2 linked regions of the Rattus norvegicus genome follow. The protein of the gene in region 2 interacts with the protein of the main gene of each other region in a biochemical or structural test. Links are inferred from orthologs where the notes say so. Each region holds a gene or a part of one and is shown on either strand. Other genes may lie near its edges.

The links.
Region 1: of the proteins of Trim28 (region 2) and Sirt1, one has a biochemical effect on the other in vitro, tested with the Homo sapiens proteins (2 studies listed by BioGRID). The link is inferred for Rattus norvegicus from reciprocal best matches to the Homo sapiens genes TRIM28 and SIRT1.

The regions. Positions count from the first base shown.
Region 1 is NC_086038.1:25,318,022-25,325,345, reverse strand, and holds part of Sirt1 (NAD-dependent protein deacetylase sirtuin-1), read right to left. Parts: intron 6,172-7,324; exon of another isoform or gene 6,080-6,171; coding exon of another isoform or gene 6,047-6,079; intron 5,557-6,046; coding exon 5,409-5,556; intron 4,773-5,408; coding exon 4,693-4,772; intron 3,449-4,692; coding exon 3,262-3,448; intron 1,450-3,261; coding exon 895-1,449; intron 1-894. UniProt on the Homo sapiens protein: NAD-dependent protein deacetylase that links transcriptional regulation directly to intracellular energetics and participates in the coordination of several separated cellular functions such as cell cycle, response to DNA damage, metabolism, apoptosis and autophagy.
Region 2 is NC_086019.1:82,721,327-82,729,106, forward strand, and holds the start of Trim28 (transcription intermediary factor 1-beta), read left to right. Parts: upstream 1-3,568; 5' UTR 3,569-3,851; coding exon 3,852-4,197; intron 4,198-4,486; coding exon 4,487-4,599; intron 4,600-4,822; coding exon 4,823-4,955; intron 4,956-6,844; coding exon 6,845-6,980; intron 6,981-7,061; coding exon 7,062-7,178; intron 7,179-7,248; coding exon 7,249-7,363; intron 7,364-7,493; coding exon 7,494-7,640; intron 7,641-7,743; coding exon 7,744-7,780. UniProt on the Homo sapiens protein: Nuclear corepressor for KRAB domain-containing zinc finger proteins (KRAB-ZFPs).

The sequences.
Region 1 (7,324 bases), on a different chromosome or scaffold from region 2:
CAATCCTAGCACTCAAGACAGACAGATGAGTGCCAGGTAACTGTCAAAGAAACTACAGATGTTATGAATCCCAGCACTCAGGTACAAAAGCAGACCTCTCAGGGCTATATAATGAGACCCTTGCCCTTAAGAAGTCTGTTGGGTATTTGTGCATATAAAGGGTATATAGATTTTATATTATAGTGCTCTGTTGTTGTCCCAATTGTTATGGTTAAGATGCTTACCAAGGATCAAAGTACACACATTTAAAGGCCAGCTTGCTGTCCAAATGAGGCCTTTAAGACTCTTATGGGGCCATACTTTATGCTTAACATATGATTCTTCAAAATGTCAAGTATCTTGCTTATGTTAATAGGACAAAATAGATGTCCAGTAGATAGATAGGAATCCTGTTTTCAGATCTTAAACAAGGCAGCCCAGAGGGTTGAGTCTCTAGAGGAAGGTATAACCCAATTACCTTCCAGGGGTCATATCAATGAGACACACATACATATATATGTGATAAGATCTTTTAAACCCTGAGTTTTGCCACCTAGAACATGGCTCCTGCCTTGTAAGATCATAAAATGACCCACAGTAAGCACTCAAGACTCAAGAGTACATTTACCTGGTGAGCCACCTTTTTAAATAAATCATTTCTGCCACTTAAAACAGCACAGCAATATACTTTAAAACCCACTCTTGGGGCTCTCAGTTGACAGATCAAGCTGCCTAGCTGCTTGAAGCCCTAGGTTTAATCACACAAAAACAAACACATCACCTAAACTTACTCCAGCTTAATACACACAAACAAATAATACCAGCACTACCTTGATCAACTAATGTCAAAGCAGTTATCTTTCCTTTCTCTGATCACAGTACTTTGAAAGTGGTTCAACAAAAAGCATTCCATACCGTCAAGACGCTTACTAATCTGCTCCTTTGCAAGTCTATTAGGCCAGCATTTTCTCACTGTTTCTGCAACAGAAGTTCTTTCATTTTTGTCTCCAGTACTGGAACCAACAGCCTTGAAATCTGGGTTTTCCACATTAATGCTCTCAACATTCCTATAAGTCTGTACTTCCTGTGATTTTTCTTCCACACAACTTTTTGGTTCAGATACTTCTAAATCGTCAACTTTGTTCTTTATTGTTTGGTCTACAAGTGTAGCAATCACAGAAGAGTCTTGTGGTACAGTTCTTTCAGGTGAACTTGAGTCTTCTGAAATATGAAGAGGTGTTGGTGGCAACTCTGATAAATGAACCAATTCCTTTTGTGTTCGTGGAGGTTTTTCAGTAATTTCTGAAAGCTTTACAGGGTTACAACAAAGTTTGGCATACTCGCCACCTAACCTATGACACAACTCATTAATTATGACATCGCAGTCTCCAAGAAGCTCTACATCAAAATGTAGATGAGGCAGAGGTTCCCTATTTATTAATATTTGAGGCACTTCATGGGGTATAGAACCTAAAAAAAAAAGGTAAAAAGGTAAGTTAGAAAATGGAGAGAAATGTAATGACAACTCCCTTATCCCAACACTGGAATCCCAATGAGACCTTGTCTCAACAACAACAAAAGGGTCAACAGGGATGCATTTTACATTTTCAGAAGCAATTTCCTCTCAATAACCATGTACTTTTCTCCCACTGAGGCTGTGCTATTCTGTGGCCTTAAACTTTATGGCAATCCTGTCTCAGGCTCATTAGACAGATGTTCAAGTTCAGAGAGCTTAAATTTTTAATCAACAAGATCCTCTGAATTAGCTTAAAAAAATAAAGTCTAGCTAGTAGTCCTGGAGGCTCACGGCTTTAACACTTCGTAAAGAAGGCAGGTGGACCCTTATGCATTTCAAGACATCAAGAATGACAGAAACTTGGACATGGAGGGGTAGTTTCAATTAAAAAAAAGGAAAAATCACCTTTTGGGATTATGTTAGCCAATAGGCTATGTTCCTGGACATAAGCAAATACCCTTGTGGAGCTACAACTGTTAAGGAATAAACTTTTTTTTAATATATATCCCAGGCTGGCCCCAAAATTTGCTAAGTAGAAGCTATTGTTTGAACTCCTGACTCTCCTGCCTTTACCCTATACCACATGGTTTACAGACAGGTATATACCACCACTCCTGGCTACCGAAGATTAGCTGGGAGCAGTAGCACATGCCTTTGATCCCATCACTCAGGAGAGACTGAACAGGCATTCTCTATTCTCTAGGGCTAACCTAGTCTACATAGATGTCCCAGTGCCAAGTGTAGTGAGATCTTGTCTCAAGAAGTAGAGTGTGTCGGGGTTGGGGATTTAGCTCAGTGGTAGAGCGCTTGCCTAGGAAGCGCAAGGCCCTGGGTTCGGTCCCCAGCTCCTGAAAAAAAAAAGAACCAAAAAAAAAAGTGTGTCTATGTGTGTATAGGGGAAGGTGCACTATGTGTCTCTATACTCCATACATGTGCATGTACAATTCGAGTACTTGGCCAAATGGAGCAACAGATCCCCTATAAACTGGAGACAAACTTATTTGGATGTGAGGAACTCATCCTGGATCCTCTCAAGAATGGTGCTCTTGACTGTGTGATGAGAACTGTGTGTGTAGATGGTGTGTCCCAGAGATGGACTGATGAATATGCTCTTTGCATATTTATAGTGTTTTGTGTGTGCAGTGGGGAAATAGCATGTATTTATAGTGTTTTTGTGTGCACAGTGGGGAGATACTATACATATTCTAGAGCGGTGGGTCACAAACTGTGGGTTAAAACTCCTTTGGGGGTTAAATAAGCCTTTCACAGGGGTTGCCGAAGACCATCAGAAAAAAACATTTACATTGTGATTTATAACTAGCAAAATTACAGTTATTAAGTAACAAAACTAATTTTATCACTAGAGGTTATAACATGAATTGTACTAAAGGACTGAATCATTAGGAAGGTTGAGAACCACTTTGGGTGGAAGGGTACACTCTTAACATTCTTGTCTGGCCAAAGTAGGCACACATGCAGACAAAACACCCAAACATAAAAATAAACATGGAATTAATTGAAGCTGACTTTAATATACATACTACTAAAAAGCATGAGTCACATAGTTTTGCTTTGATTTTATATGAACAATTAAAATTTGATGTTAGTTCTGTCTTCGTAGCCCCATTCCCATATCAAAATGTCACTTTATGAAGATCACCTAAAAAGTACAGGTTAGACCTTCCAACTATTCTCTAAATAAAAACAGTCACATCTTACACAGATCCACAACTCAGCACGCAGAACTGTCCCCTAAACCAACTTACTTGGAATTAGTGCTACTGGTCTTACTTTCAGAGAAGACCCAATAACAATGAGGAGGTCAACTTCATCTTTGTCATACTTCATGGCTCTATGAAACTGTTCTGGTAAGTTTTCACCAAAGAAGACAATCTCTGGCTTCATGATGGCAAGTGGCTCATCAGCTGGGCACCTAGGACACCGAGGAACTACCTGCACAAAACATTGAGAGCGAAGTAGTAGCCCAGGTTAGCAGTTGGCAAAATTCCCAGAAACAAAAGCTGTGCAGTCATAAATTTGATAGTATGCTGCTGTGGAGCCAGGGTGGGGCTGGGGTGATGAGTCCACCAGGTAAGGACACTTTCCACCAAACTGACAACCAAATTTAACTCCCAGGTAGAAATTGAGAACTGACTCCCAGGTTGATCCTCTGACCACCACAGCCTGATCTCTCACCCTCTGTCTCCCGTCTCCACACGTGCTATTTCCCCACTGTGCACACAAAAAACACTATAAATACATGCTATTTCCCCACTGCACACACAAAACACTATAAATATGCAAAGAGCATAGAAAAGCATGCACATAAGACCTTTTCAAAATGTTTGTAAAAATGACTCCATTGGAATATACTTTTTTTTTCTGGATTAGACATGATTTTAGTTAAACACACAGGACATATTTCTGGATGTGTTGCTATATATTCCTTTAATAAATACTTCACTATCATTTTGAATTTTTTTTAAGATTTATTATTTCTAAGTATACTGTAGCTGTCTTCAGACACACCAGAAGAGGGCATCAGATCTCATTAGAGATGGTTGTGAGCCACCATGTGGTTGCTGGGATTGGAGCTCAGGACCTCTGGAAGAGCAGTCAGTGCTCTTAACCACTGAGCCATCTCTCTAGCCCTAAAGTGTTTTAAATGACTAATGCAGAGGTATTCCCTGCAACTTATAACCAAGCCTCCAGTTTTGGGCCTAGATTATAAGGAGGTAGTTAAGTGTATTATGGAGGATTTTAGGTTGGTTGGTTGAGAAAGGGTCTCATGTAATGAGGGCTGGCCTCAAACTTGTTTGTAGGTGACCATGACCTTCAACTCCCAATTACCTAAATGTTAGGATTTCAGGCATGTGCCCACACACCAGATTTATTGGTACTAGAGAGCAATCCCAGGACTACAAATGCTAAGCAGCCATTCTACCAATGGAGCAACATAAAAACTTCTACTCTATCCAGCTCAGGTTAGCCTGCTCTCTCAATCAATCCCCTGCCCTCAGCTTTCAAGTGGTGTGCTCTAACATCCTCCGTGCAAAGGGATCTTCTACTTAAGGTAGAGAAAGATGGCCTATTTACACCAGAATTTCTAACACACTCCGTACAGCACGTACTTCTCACAAGAGAGGAAAAGATGAGGATACAACCAAAAGTGAATGAAGTGAGATGAATTAAATTACCTGATTAAAAATATCTCCACGAACAGCTTCACAATCAACTTTGTATTTACAAATCAGGCAAGATGCTGTTGCAAAGGAACCTAAAACAACCAATATATAACTTTTATTGAAAGACTTTGTGGCTTACTCCATGAAGACTTACTAAAATTTTATGTATAACGACTGCTGTATCTGCACGCACAGCTACATGTCAGAAGAGGGAATCAGCTCATATATAGATAGTTGTGAACCATCCTGTGGGTAACTGGGGATTGAACACAGGATGCCTGGGAGAGCAGTCAGTGCTCTTAATGCTCCTAACTGCTGAGCCGTCTCTCCAGCCTCACCATGACAACTTTAACCTGGATTCTCCTGCAAAGTCTTGTAAGGAATATAATACATGGATACAGTTACATACTAATATATGTACATGTAGTCCTCATCCTCCAAAACTATTTGTAATAACACAACTCTGCAAGTGCTTAAAGCTGCAGCTAGAAGATTCCAATTGAGTTACCTTAGCTTGCTTGTGTCTTGTAGTCAAGGCTAGCCTAAAACTTGTTATCAAAATATATACCCACCACATCTGAGGCCTTTATTTTTTTATCCTCCTCTATTTTTGTACATTCAAGATTAAACAATTAATGCTTAATCTCGTTACTAGATAGCTTCTTTCCAAGCATGAATATTCTATTACAATAAGCACCCTACAGAAAGCCACTGTGACTTTTACTAACCATGACACTGAATGATCCTTTGGATTCCTGCAACCTGCTCCAAGGTATCTATATTTTGAGTATAATTTCGAAGTAGTTTTCCTTCCTTATCTGACAAAGCTATGAATTTGTGACACAGAGATGGCTGGAACTGTCCGGGATATATTTCCTATATAATGCAAAAGGCAGAAAAAAGTTTACATTAATGAAAGATGCATATCAGTTATCCCTAGGTACTAACAATAGCCCCCATGTACGTACTGTAATAACCAAAATACATGAACATTTTAACACATCTAAATGGATGGTCCCTAGAAAAAGATTGTTACTGTATGAAAACTCAGCAGTTACTGAACTTGGCCTCTTAAAGTACAAGATTAGGTGACCCATAAACACATCATAGTGGATGACTTAATAATGTTAGTCAGAAGAAATACATACCTTAGGTACATCTAAATTTTGTTGGCTGCAAATTCAGATTGTTTTTCTTTAAGGAAAAAGGGGGAAACTTTACACTGAAATTACAGATATTAAAGGTATGGTGACTTCACAACTAAAAAAAAATGGCTGTCAATATATTATTTAAAACTTTCTTTTTGAGTCATCATTGATAAATATCAACCTGCTGGGAGTTTAAAGCTGAAGTTTTAATTCCTTACCAAAATTGCTTTCCTTCCACTGCACAGGCACATACTGGTATAGAACAGAGCTGCTCATGAATGCTGAGTTGCTGGATTTTGTGTGTGTGTTTTTCCCCCCAAATAATGCTTCAATGCTGTTTCTTCTTTAAAAACAAAGAATTCAGATATACACATGGCAAAAAGATCAGAGAAAAAGTATCAATTTTGGTCCTCCCAACTTTTTAAATATATACATTTATTTATTATTTATTTATGTATATGTGCATTGATATTTTGCCTGCATGTATGTCTGTGTGAGGGTGTCAGGTCCCCTGGAACTGGAGTTATATAAACAGTTGTGAGCTGCCATGTGGATGCTAGCAACTGAACCCAGGTCCTTTGGAAGAGCTGCCAGTGCTCTTGACTGCTGAGCCATCTCTCCTCTCCAGCTTCTCTTCCTCCTAACTTTTAATAGAGTTTTTATTCAATTTCATTTAGTTAAAGGACTGTGACAAGGAAGTTTCTTTTTTCTTAAAAGTAGCTTTCACTATCTGTTTCCTTACATTAAGGCTTTAACCCATCATAATGTTAGCAAAAGCTAAACACAAATGAGTGTGCATCAGTATGGAAACTAGTTGTATAGTAAGTACATCCATACAGTGGGATATTCAGCCACTGAGAGAATGAGGGGGCTCTCATGCACTGAACTAAAAAATAGTCCATGACACACATGAACAAAGCAAGCTAGTCACAAGGGTGTATGTAATCTTTCTGGTTGTATTAAGCAAAAACTGAAGTTAGTGCACATATGATGGTTTCTGTCTGATTTGTGCTCTCCATTTAATGCAGACAGAAAACATTCAGGAGGCTGGACTGAGTAGCACATGCCTGTAATCCCACTAAGAAATAGCTAAAAATATTCTATAAAGTCTAAAAATTCTAAAAACTTTTTTTAAAGATTTATTAATTATATATAAGTACACCGAAGCTGTCTTCAGACACAAAGAAGAGGGCATCAGATCTCATTATGGATGGTTGTGAGCCACCATGTGGTTGCTGGGATTTGAACTCAGGACCTCCGGAAGAGCAGTTGGTGCTCTTAACCACTGAGCCATCTCTCCAGCCCCTCTAAAAACTTTTAATGAAAACCTTGCCTTATATAAACTGAGTCTAAAAAGTCTTCTATAAATCAAATAGCTTAGAGTTTATAAGGTATGGTTAGTTATTCCAAATCAAAAAGATAGGTCAAGTCTAAATATCCTAAAGGATTTTAAGAAACCAACCATGTTGGGCTATTCTGTTCAAAAAGTTTAGATC
Region 2 (7,780 bases):
TGAGCTAAATCCCCAACCCCCATCCTTCCAATCTTTAATGAAGCTTGTTGAACAATGGGCTTTGACCCTCTCCACCTTCTCCAGCATATATAGATTCTTCTTTTCTTTTCCCCTTGAGACAGGGTTTTTCTATATACTCCTGGCTGTCCTGGAACTCACTCTGTAGGACAGGCTGGCCTCAAACTCAGAGATCTGTCTGCCTCTGCCTCCCTAGTGATGGGATTAGAGGTGGTGTGTCATTACTGCCCAGATAATTTTCTTAAAAGAGATTCAATTTTTTGTTGTTGAACGATTTATGTTTGTAAACATGAATGAATTTATGTGTGCCGCATGAGTGCAGGCTAAAAGGGTGTTGGATTCTCTGGAGCTCAAGTTGCAGGTGATTGTAAGCCACCACATAGGTGCTGGGAATTTACTTCTAGTCTCCCATATGAGCAGTAAGCACATTTAACTTTTAAACTGTCTCTTAAGCCCCAAGATATCCAAATCTTTCTTAGTGGAAAGTCTCTAGGAGTAGACTTGAGGCCCTTACAGTTTGTACATTTTTGTTTTGAGACAGGGTCTCTATTATGTAGCTCTGGACGTTTTGGAACTAGCTTTGTAGACCACCCTGGCCTTGAACTCACACCTTGATCTACCTGCCCCTGCTATCAAGGTGCTGGGACTAAAGGTATACAGCCGTGCCACCACACCCAATCTATGTTTTAAAGATTTTTTATAATTTTATTTTATGTGTATGGCTGTTTTGCCTGTATGTATATGGGTACCACATATGTTGTAATTTATGAGGGGGGGGGGCAGGAATATGTTAGATAGATCGAGGAGGTATGGTGAGGTGGGAGGCATTTCTTCCCCCGAGGTACCAGGCATACGATAGGTATAATATGGAATAGAGGTTATTATTTAGGGCATGGGAAGGGGAGTTGGGAAGGGAGGGGGGAGAGAGGGGGGGAGGGAGGAGGAGGGGAGAACAAAGAAGAGGAAGAAGCGGAAGAGGAGGAGGAGAGGAGGCTGGCCCCGGGAACACGTGGAGAAAAGGGGAGCAGGGGGAAGGGGAGAGAGGGGGAAAGGGGTCAGGGAGAGAAGGAAGTCAGAGAGAATAAGAGTAAGATAGAGAGGAAGGGGCAAACAGCCCCTTTTATCATAAGCCAGGCATACCTGGCTGTTGCCAGGTAACTGTGGGGCAGAGCCTAGAAGGAATGCTAACAAGTGTGCTTGGTACCCATAGGTCACAAGAGGATGTCAGGTCTCCTGGAACTATAGTTGTTTGCTACCATGTAAATGATGGAACCAAATCTTGCTCTCTGCAAGAGCAACAAGTGCTCTTAAACTCTAAGCCATTTCTCTAACCCCTTGCCACCAGGAGTAAGTTAGTAATGTCTAGTACATTATTAGTATTATTATTACTGGTTGTTGTGGCAGAGTATGTGTCCAGTTTGACTTCACTATGTAGCACAGGCTATATATACTTGGACTCATACTCTTCTACAAGTACCTGCATCTGTCTGTCCTGCCTCAGAGTTTAGCACCTGTTTCTGTCTACATTCTCTTTCCTGTTTGGGGACAGTGTCTGGATAGTTTTCTACCAATATCTATGTATATTTATTTTTTGTTTTTTTTGTTTTTTCTCTTTTTTCTGGGGCTGGGGACCGAACCCAGGACCTTGCGCTTCCTAGGCAAGCGCTCTACCACTGAGCCAAATCCCCAACCCCGTATATTTATTTTTTAAATTTCACTAGGCATGGTGGTGCGTGCCTTTAATCCAGCACCCAGGAGGCAGAGGCAGGTAGATCCCTGTAAATTGGCTAGCTGAGTCTACAGAGTGAATTCCAGGATAGCCGAGGCTGTTACACAAAGAAACCGCCTTGAAAAACAAACAAACAAGCCCCAAAAGAAACAAAAAATTAAATTACATCTGTTAAATGTGTACTGAATACACACGCATGTGCCTCAGATTGAGCATGGAGTCCGGACAATCTGAGGGGGTTGGTTCTTTGCTTCTACTTTGTGGGTCTTGTGGCAGGTAGTGCCTGTGTTCATGAGCCACCTCTTTGCCTCTATCGCCGCTCTCTCCCACCTTTTGCCGTGGTGGTTCGGGTGTGCTGAGGATACAGTTTAGGGCTTTGTACAGGCTAGGCAAGCAAGCGTTCTGCCACTCATTCAAATTTCCAGTCCCCATCCCTTATTTTCTTTGACCTTGTGTCTCTGGTATCCTAAAGTCTGCTCCCGGGGTTTAGGTAGGCTTGGCTCACAGGCACCCTACCCTGGTGAGTCTGGCCCCAGCAGTCCGTGGGGCCGTGAAAATATTCGCAAATATTTCTACGGGAAGCCCGCACTCAGCTTCCAGATTATACTATCCTTTTCAGAGGTAGAAGTGAGAGTCCAGAGGCTGGGTCTGGTGGGGGCGTGGCCCGCCGAATGGTGAACGCAGAACTGCCGAGATAGGAACAAAGGCTGGGGCGGGGCAAAACCTTGGGCCCCCAGCTTGATTGGGAACAAAGGCCACACCCGGGACAGTGGCGGGACACTCCTCGCCTCTCCGCTGCCACGTGGGTGAACACCTGGTTCTGCACGGAGGAGGTAGACTCTTGTTGAGAACCCTAGAGTTGCTTGTGGGCAACTCACTCTAGCCCAGACCCAGACCGTACCCAGTACACTGCAAGGCTGCAGAGGCATCCACTCAGCACGGCAGTAGAATGGCAAGGGGTACAGGTTGCCTTTTTAACACTGATCCTGCATCTGAGATGAACCGCTTCACCGCTCTTGATCCTGCTATTCTTTTCCTTAAATCAAATTCTTCAGCCAAGGTCCTGCTCCTCATGCAAGATTATTCCCCAGGTCTTATTTCTCCCTCAGATGAGATTCATCACTCAGATCCAACTTTTATTCCTTCGCGTTAGATGTTCAGTTCTTCCACCTCCAAAAAACCCACTAAAACCAGAATAGCAGAGGACTAAAACAGAAGAGGCTTTCGAAAGACTGGGCAGAATTTTACAGAATGGTTTCTCAGTACCTCTCTGTGATCTGCGGTTTGACTTGGACAACTTTTCGCTTCCCGAGTTTAACAATAAAAAAAGTTTGGGTTAAGACCGCCTCCACGCTCGGCGGGAACTTCCTGCCAAAGACCCCCTCACCCCCTCCACCTGGGCTCGGTCTCTGTGCTCAGCCGTGGCTCCGCCCTCTTCGGATTGTCCCGCCCCTCTTCGCGGACTATAGGCCAAGCTGCGGCTGCGGACGTCGCCACGCCTGCTAAGGAGGCGGGGCCTAAGGTACGGTTCTGCACGACTCGCGCTTTCCAGCACGCGAGGAATAAGCCTCGGTGCACTGTACGGTGGGCATGGGAGACATCACGCACGTACTCCGCGGGTGAATTTCCTACCGGTAGTCTTGCTATCCTGGACCTAGAGGGGCGGCTGCGAGTAGAAGGGAGGGCCCTGGCGCGTGCGTAATCTGCCTGCGCCCCGCCCCCAGGCTGCGGTGCCCAACGCGCGTGCGCGACGTCGTCGGCGCCAGATATTTCTGTCCCGCCTCCAGGCCGCGGCTCTTTCTGCGAGCGGCGCGCGGTCGGGCGGTTGTTCGCAATTCTTGCGGCGCGAGTCTCAGCAGCAAGGGAGGAGGCGGCGCGGGTGGCGGCGCCGTCGTCTGTAGAGAGGCCGGCAGCCAGCGGCTTGGCCGCATCTCGGCAGCGCCTGGGGCGCGGCGGGCGTCGGCCCAGGAGACGCGTGGCGGCGCTCGGCCTCGCGGCATCGGCGGCTGCCTGGCCGTTGGCGGCGAGCGCACTTGCGCCTGCGCAGCGGGCTCGGTGCCCCTCCTCCCCTGGGCGGCCCCCCCAACCCCCCGGCGGCGTGTGAATGGCGGCCTCGGCGGCGGCGGCGACTGCGGCGGCCTCGGCCGCGACGGCCGCGTCAGCGGCCTCTGGTAGCCCAGGGTCGGGCGAAGGCTCGGCGGGCGGTGAGAAGCGCCCCGCTGCCTCTTCAGCCGCGGCGGCCTCGGCCTCCGCGTCGTCCCCTGCGGGGGGCGGTGGCGAGGCGCAGGAGCTTTTGGAGCACTGCGGCGTGTGTCGCGAGCGCTTGCGGCCTGAGCGGGATCCTCGGCTGCTGCCCTGTCTGCATTCGGCCTGTAGTGCCTGCCTTGGCCCCGCTACACCCGCCGCAGCTAATAATTCGGGGGATGGCGGCTCGGCGGGCGACGGCGCTAGTGAGTACTGGGTGGCCAGGTGCCCCTCCCCCCTCCTTGAAGCCCGTGCTCGGGACTGCGCCTGTGCGAGAGTATGGGGGCCCGGGTAGGGTTAAGTAGGCCTGCTGGTTTAAGAGGGGGCGGGGAACGGGTGCTGGCGGCTTGCAATGCCGGTTACCAGGTCTGGACACCGAGATGCAGACTGTGGGGTAGGAGTCAAGAAAGCCGAGTGTCTGGCTCGACTTTTGAGTTGGGGGCATAGCTTAGGTGAGCATGCAGTTAGTTTTTTCACACATTCTTGTCTTGGCAGTGGTGGATTGTCCAGTGTGCAAACAACAGTGCTACTCCAAAGACATCGTGGAGAATTACTTTATGCGTGATAGTGGCAGTAAGGCCTCTTCTGATTCCCAGGATGCTAACCAGGTATGTCCTTTGGGATATCTTGTAAGAGAGGGAGGCATCTTTTCTGAAGCATCTCACCAGCTTAACTAGTTTGGATAGTATGTTCATAACAGTCTGAGTCTCTGGAAGGGTAGTACAGATTTGAATGCATTATGTAAAATTTAGTTTGTGTTTTCTGGGAAGTAAATAGAGGTCCGTTGGATAGTTCTGCCTGTTCTAACCCCCGCCTTTACTTCACTCACAGTGCTGCACTAGCTGTGAAGATAACGCCCCAGCCACTAGCTATTGTGTGGAGTGCTCTGAACCACTGTGTGAGACCTGTGTGGAGGCTCACCAGCGGGTGAAATACACCAAGGATCACACTGTGCGCTCCACGGGTATGTTGAAGATTTGAAGGCTGTTGGAACTGCCCTTTCTTGGTTGACTCAAGTGCATACTTGCAGGATGGGACAAGGTGTTTTTTTTAGGAACCTGACACAACTCAAAAATGCTTTGGTTCTGGAGCAGACTTTGGAGGTCTAGGTGGAAAGGGAAAGGCCACAGGTAGAGGATGTGTAGGGTTATTTAACACCTGCTACAAGTCAATACTAGGGATTCAACTAAGGTCATCTTGGAAGTCTCCAGGGGAAGGTTGTAGGTCCTGGTGGTGGGTCGATTAGCATAAGCAGCTAATGAAGGCAAGATGAAGTGACTTGGATTTGGATGTTCTCTGGCACCTGGCTTTAGCTGCTGAAAAAGGGCTTTTGAACAGGGAGAATTTCTTGACAAGTTAAGACTCTTAGGCCATTGTTTAGGGTGAGTCCTGGAGTAATTCAGCAGCAAGCCTTCAGCATCTTCCTAACTAAAGCTTATGGTCAGATTGATACCTTGTTTTCTGGGTTTGGTCCTGACTCTGATGTGATGGTGAGTTTCTTCCTACTTGGAAGGACATTGTTAAGGTAGTAGTAGAAGGCAGTTGTAAGGCCGGTGTGAGAAGTCAGGAGTGATAGGAAGAGGACTGCTCTTACTAGTGGTATGTAGTTTGGGCTTGGTTAATACAGCCTGAATTGGAATAGCATCGGGGAGAAAAGGGACTGATAGGTCAGTCCATACTTTTCTATTTTGGTGAGACACTGCTCAGGCTAGCCTTGGACCCCTCCCCAGACAGTTTCTGTGTATAGCCCTGGCTGTCCTGGAACTCTGTATAGGAGGCTAGCCTCTCAGATTTGCCTGCCTCTCCCCTGGGATTAAAGGTGTGTACCACCTGGTTTTCCCTTGAACATTTTATGCCCCTCCCACAGCTCCAAAGTGCTGGGATTAAAATAGGCATTTGGAATGTGCATGTTCCCCGCCCTTTTTGTTCATTTGTTTTCAAGACTGGGTTTCTCTGTTACGCCCTGGCTATCTTAGAACTTTTTTTTATTTTTGAGGCAAGGTCTGTATATAATCCTGTTCTTTAACTCACTAAGCCAGGAATCAGGGTGGCCTTCATGCAGAGATTCTACCTACCTCTGCCTCCCCAAGCGCTAGGTTTAAAGTTGTGACCCACAAGGCCTTTTTTGTATAGGTAGATGATAGCTCAGCATATAGTTCCTACTAGCCCATCTGGCCTGTAACTCACTCACTGCAAATCAGATTGGTCTCAAAGTCAGATCTTTGTTTTTTTTCTTTTTTGCCTCCTGAGTCCTGGGACTCAGGACTTTTGAGCATTTCACTGTAGAATCAAGTTAAGATTTTAGGAATGTGAGTACACTGTAGCTGTCTTCAGACACACTAGAAGAGGGCATCGGATCTCCATTACTGGTGGTTGTGAGCCACCCTGTGGTTGCTGGGAATTGAACTCAGCACCTTTGGAAGAGCAGTCAGTGCTCTTAACCGCTGAGCCATCTCTCCAGTCCAACAAGTCTGTTTTTTAATTCACCATATGCAGTTCAAGCTTACCTTGAACTTGTGATCATTCTGTTTCCTGGGTGCTGATAATACGATTAGTATTTTTAACAATAAGTGCTGGTGTTAAGTACTCTGAGCCATCAGGACCTTGTTTATTTGGCAATGGTTCATTGGCAGATGGAAAGATAACTGAGAAATAGTAAGTAGATTGTCTTTTCATAAGCTTGTTTTTATTCCTTATAATGTTAGTTGGTGTGGTCATTTGGGAGTAAAATTTCCAGATCTAGGTCTTAATAAATGGGCCAGGGTTTTGGGAAAAGCTGGGATAGGGTTATAAGGGGTTTGTTTTCTTTGTTGCTTGAGTTGGAGGTGACTAAGGGCAATTCCTATTTCTTAGGTCCTGCTAAGACTCGAGATGGAGAACGAACAGTCTATTGTAATGTGCACAAGCATGAACCCCTTGTGCTGTTTTGTGAGAGCTGTGACACGCTCACTTGCCGGGACTGCCAACTCAATGCTCACAAGGACCACCAGTGAGTCTCAAGGCGTAGGGGGTTGTTGGATACCATTTCTTAAGTTTTGCATGCAGGCTCACTTTTTTTTTGTGGTCTCAGGTACCAATTCTTGGAAGATGCAGTAAGGAACCAACGTAAACTCTTGGCTTCACTGGTGAAACGTCTTGGGGACAAACATGCCACACTGCAGAAAAACACCAAGGAGGTTCGAAGCTCGTAAGTTCCGGTGCCAGGGCTATTGGGGTCCCAGGGCAAGGTTTCTGGCTTGACTTGACTTGTCCATTAGGATCCGCCAGGTGTCTGATGTGCAGAAGCGAGTGCAGGTTGATGTGAAGATGGCCATTCTGCAGATCATGAAGGAGCTGAATAAACGGGGACGAGTTCTGGTCAATGATGCCCAGGTAAAATTTAGTGCTGGAATGGTATTGGTCTGCTTCTGCTGGTGGCTGACATGACAGTATCCAGGGTGGAGAAGGATCCTTCCTAGTGCTCTGCTTTCTTTAATGAGGCTGTTTTTTCCTTGACTTGCAGAAGGTGACTGAGGGTCAGCAGGAACGTCTGGAGCGTCAGCACTGGACCATGACCAAAATCCAGAAGCACCAGGAACACATTTTGCGCTTTGCCTCTTGGGCTTTGGAGAGTGATAACAATACAGCCCTCTTGCTCTCTAAGAAGCTGGTGTGTAGTGGTGGCCTTCATTATTCAGCTAGGTGGCCCCTCAGCACCTTGGGATCCTGTAAGTTGCCAACTATGCTTATGTGCTACATTTTTGCCCCATTAGATTTATTTCCAGCTGCATCGGGCCCTCAAAATGATTG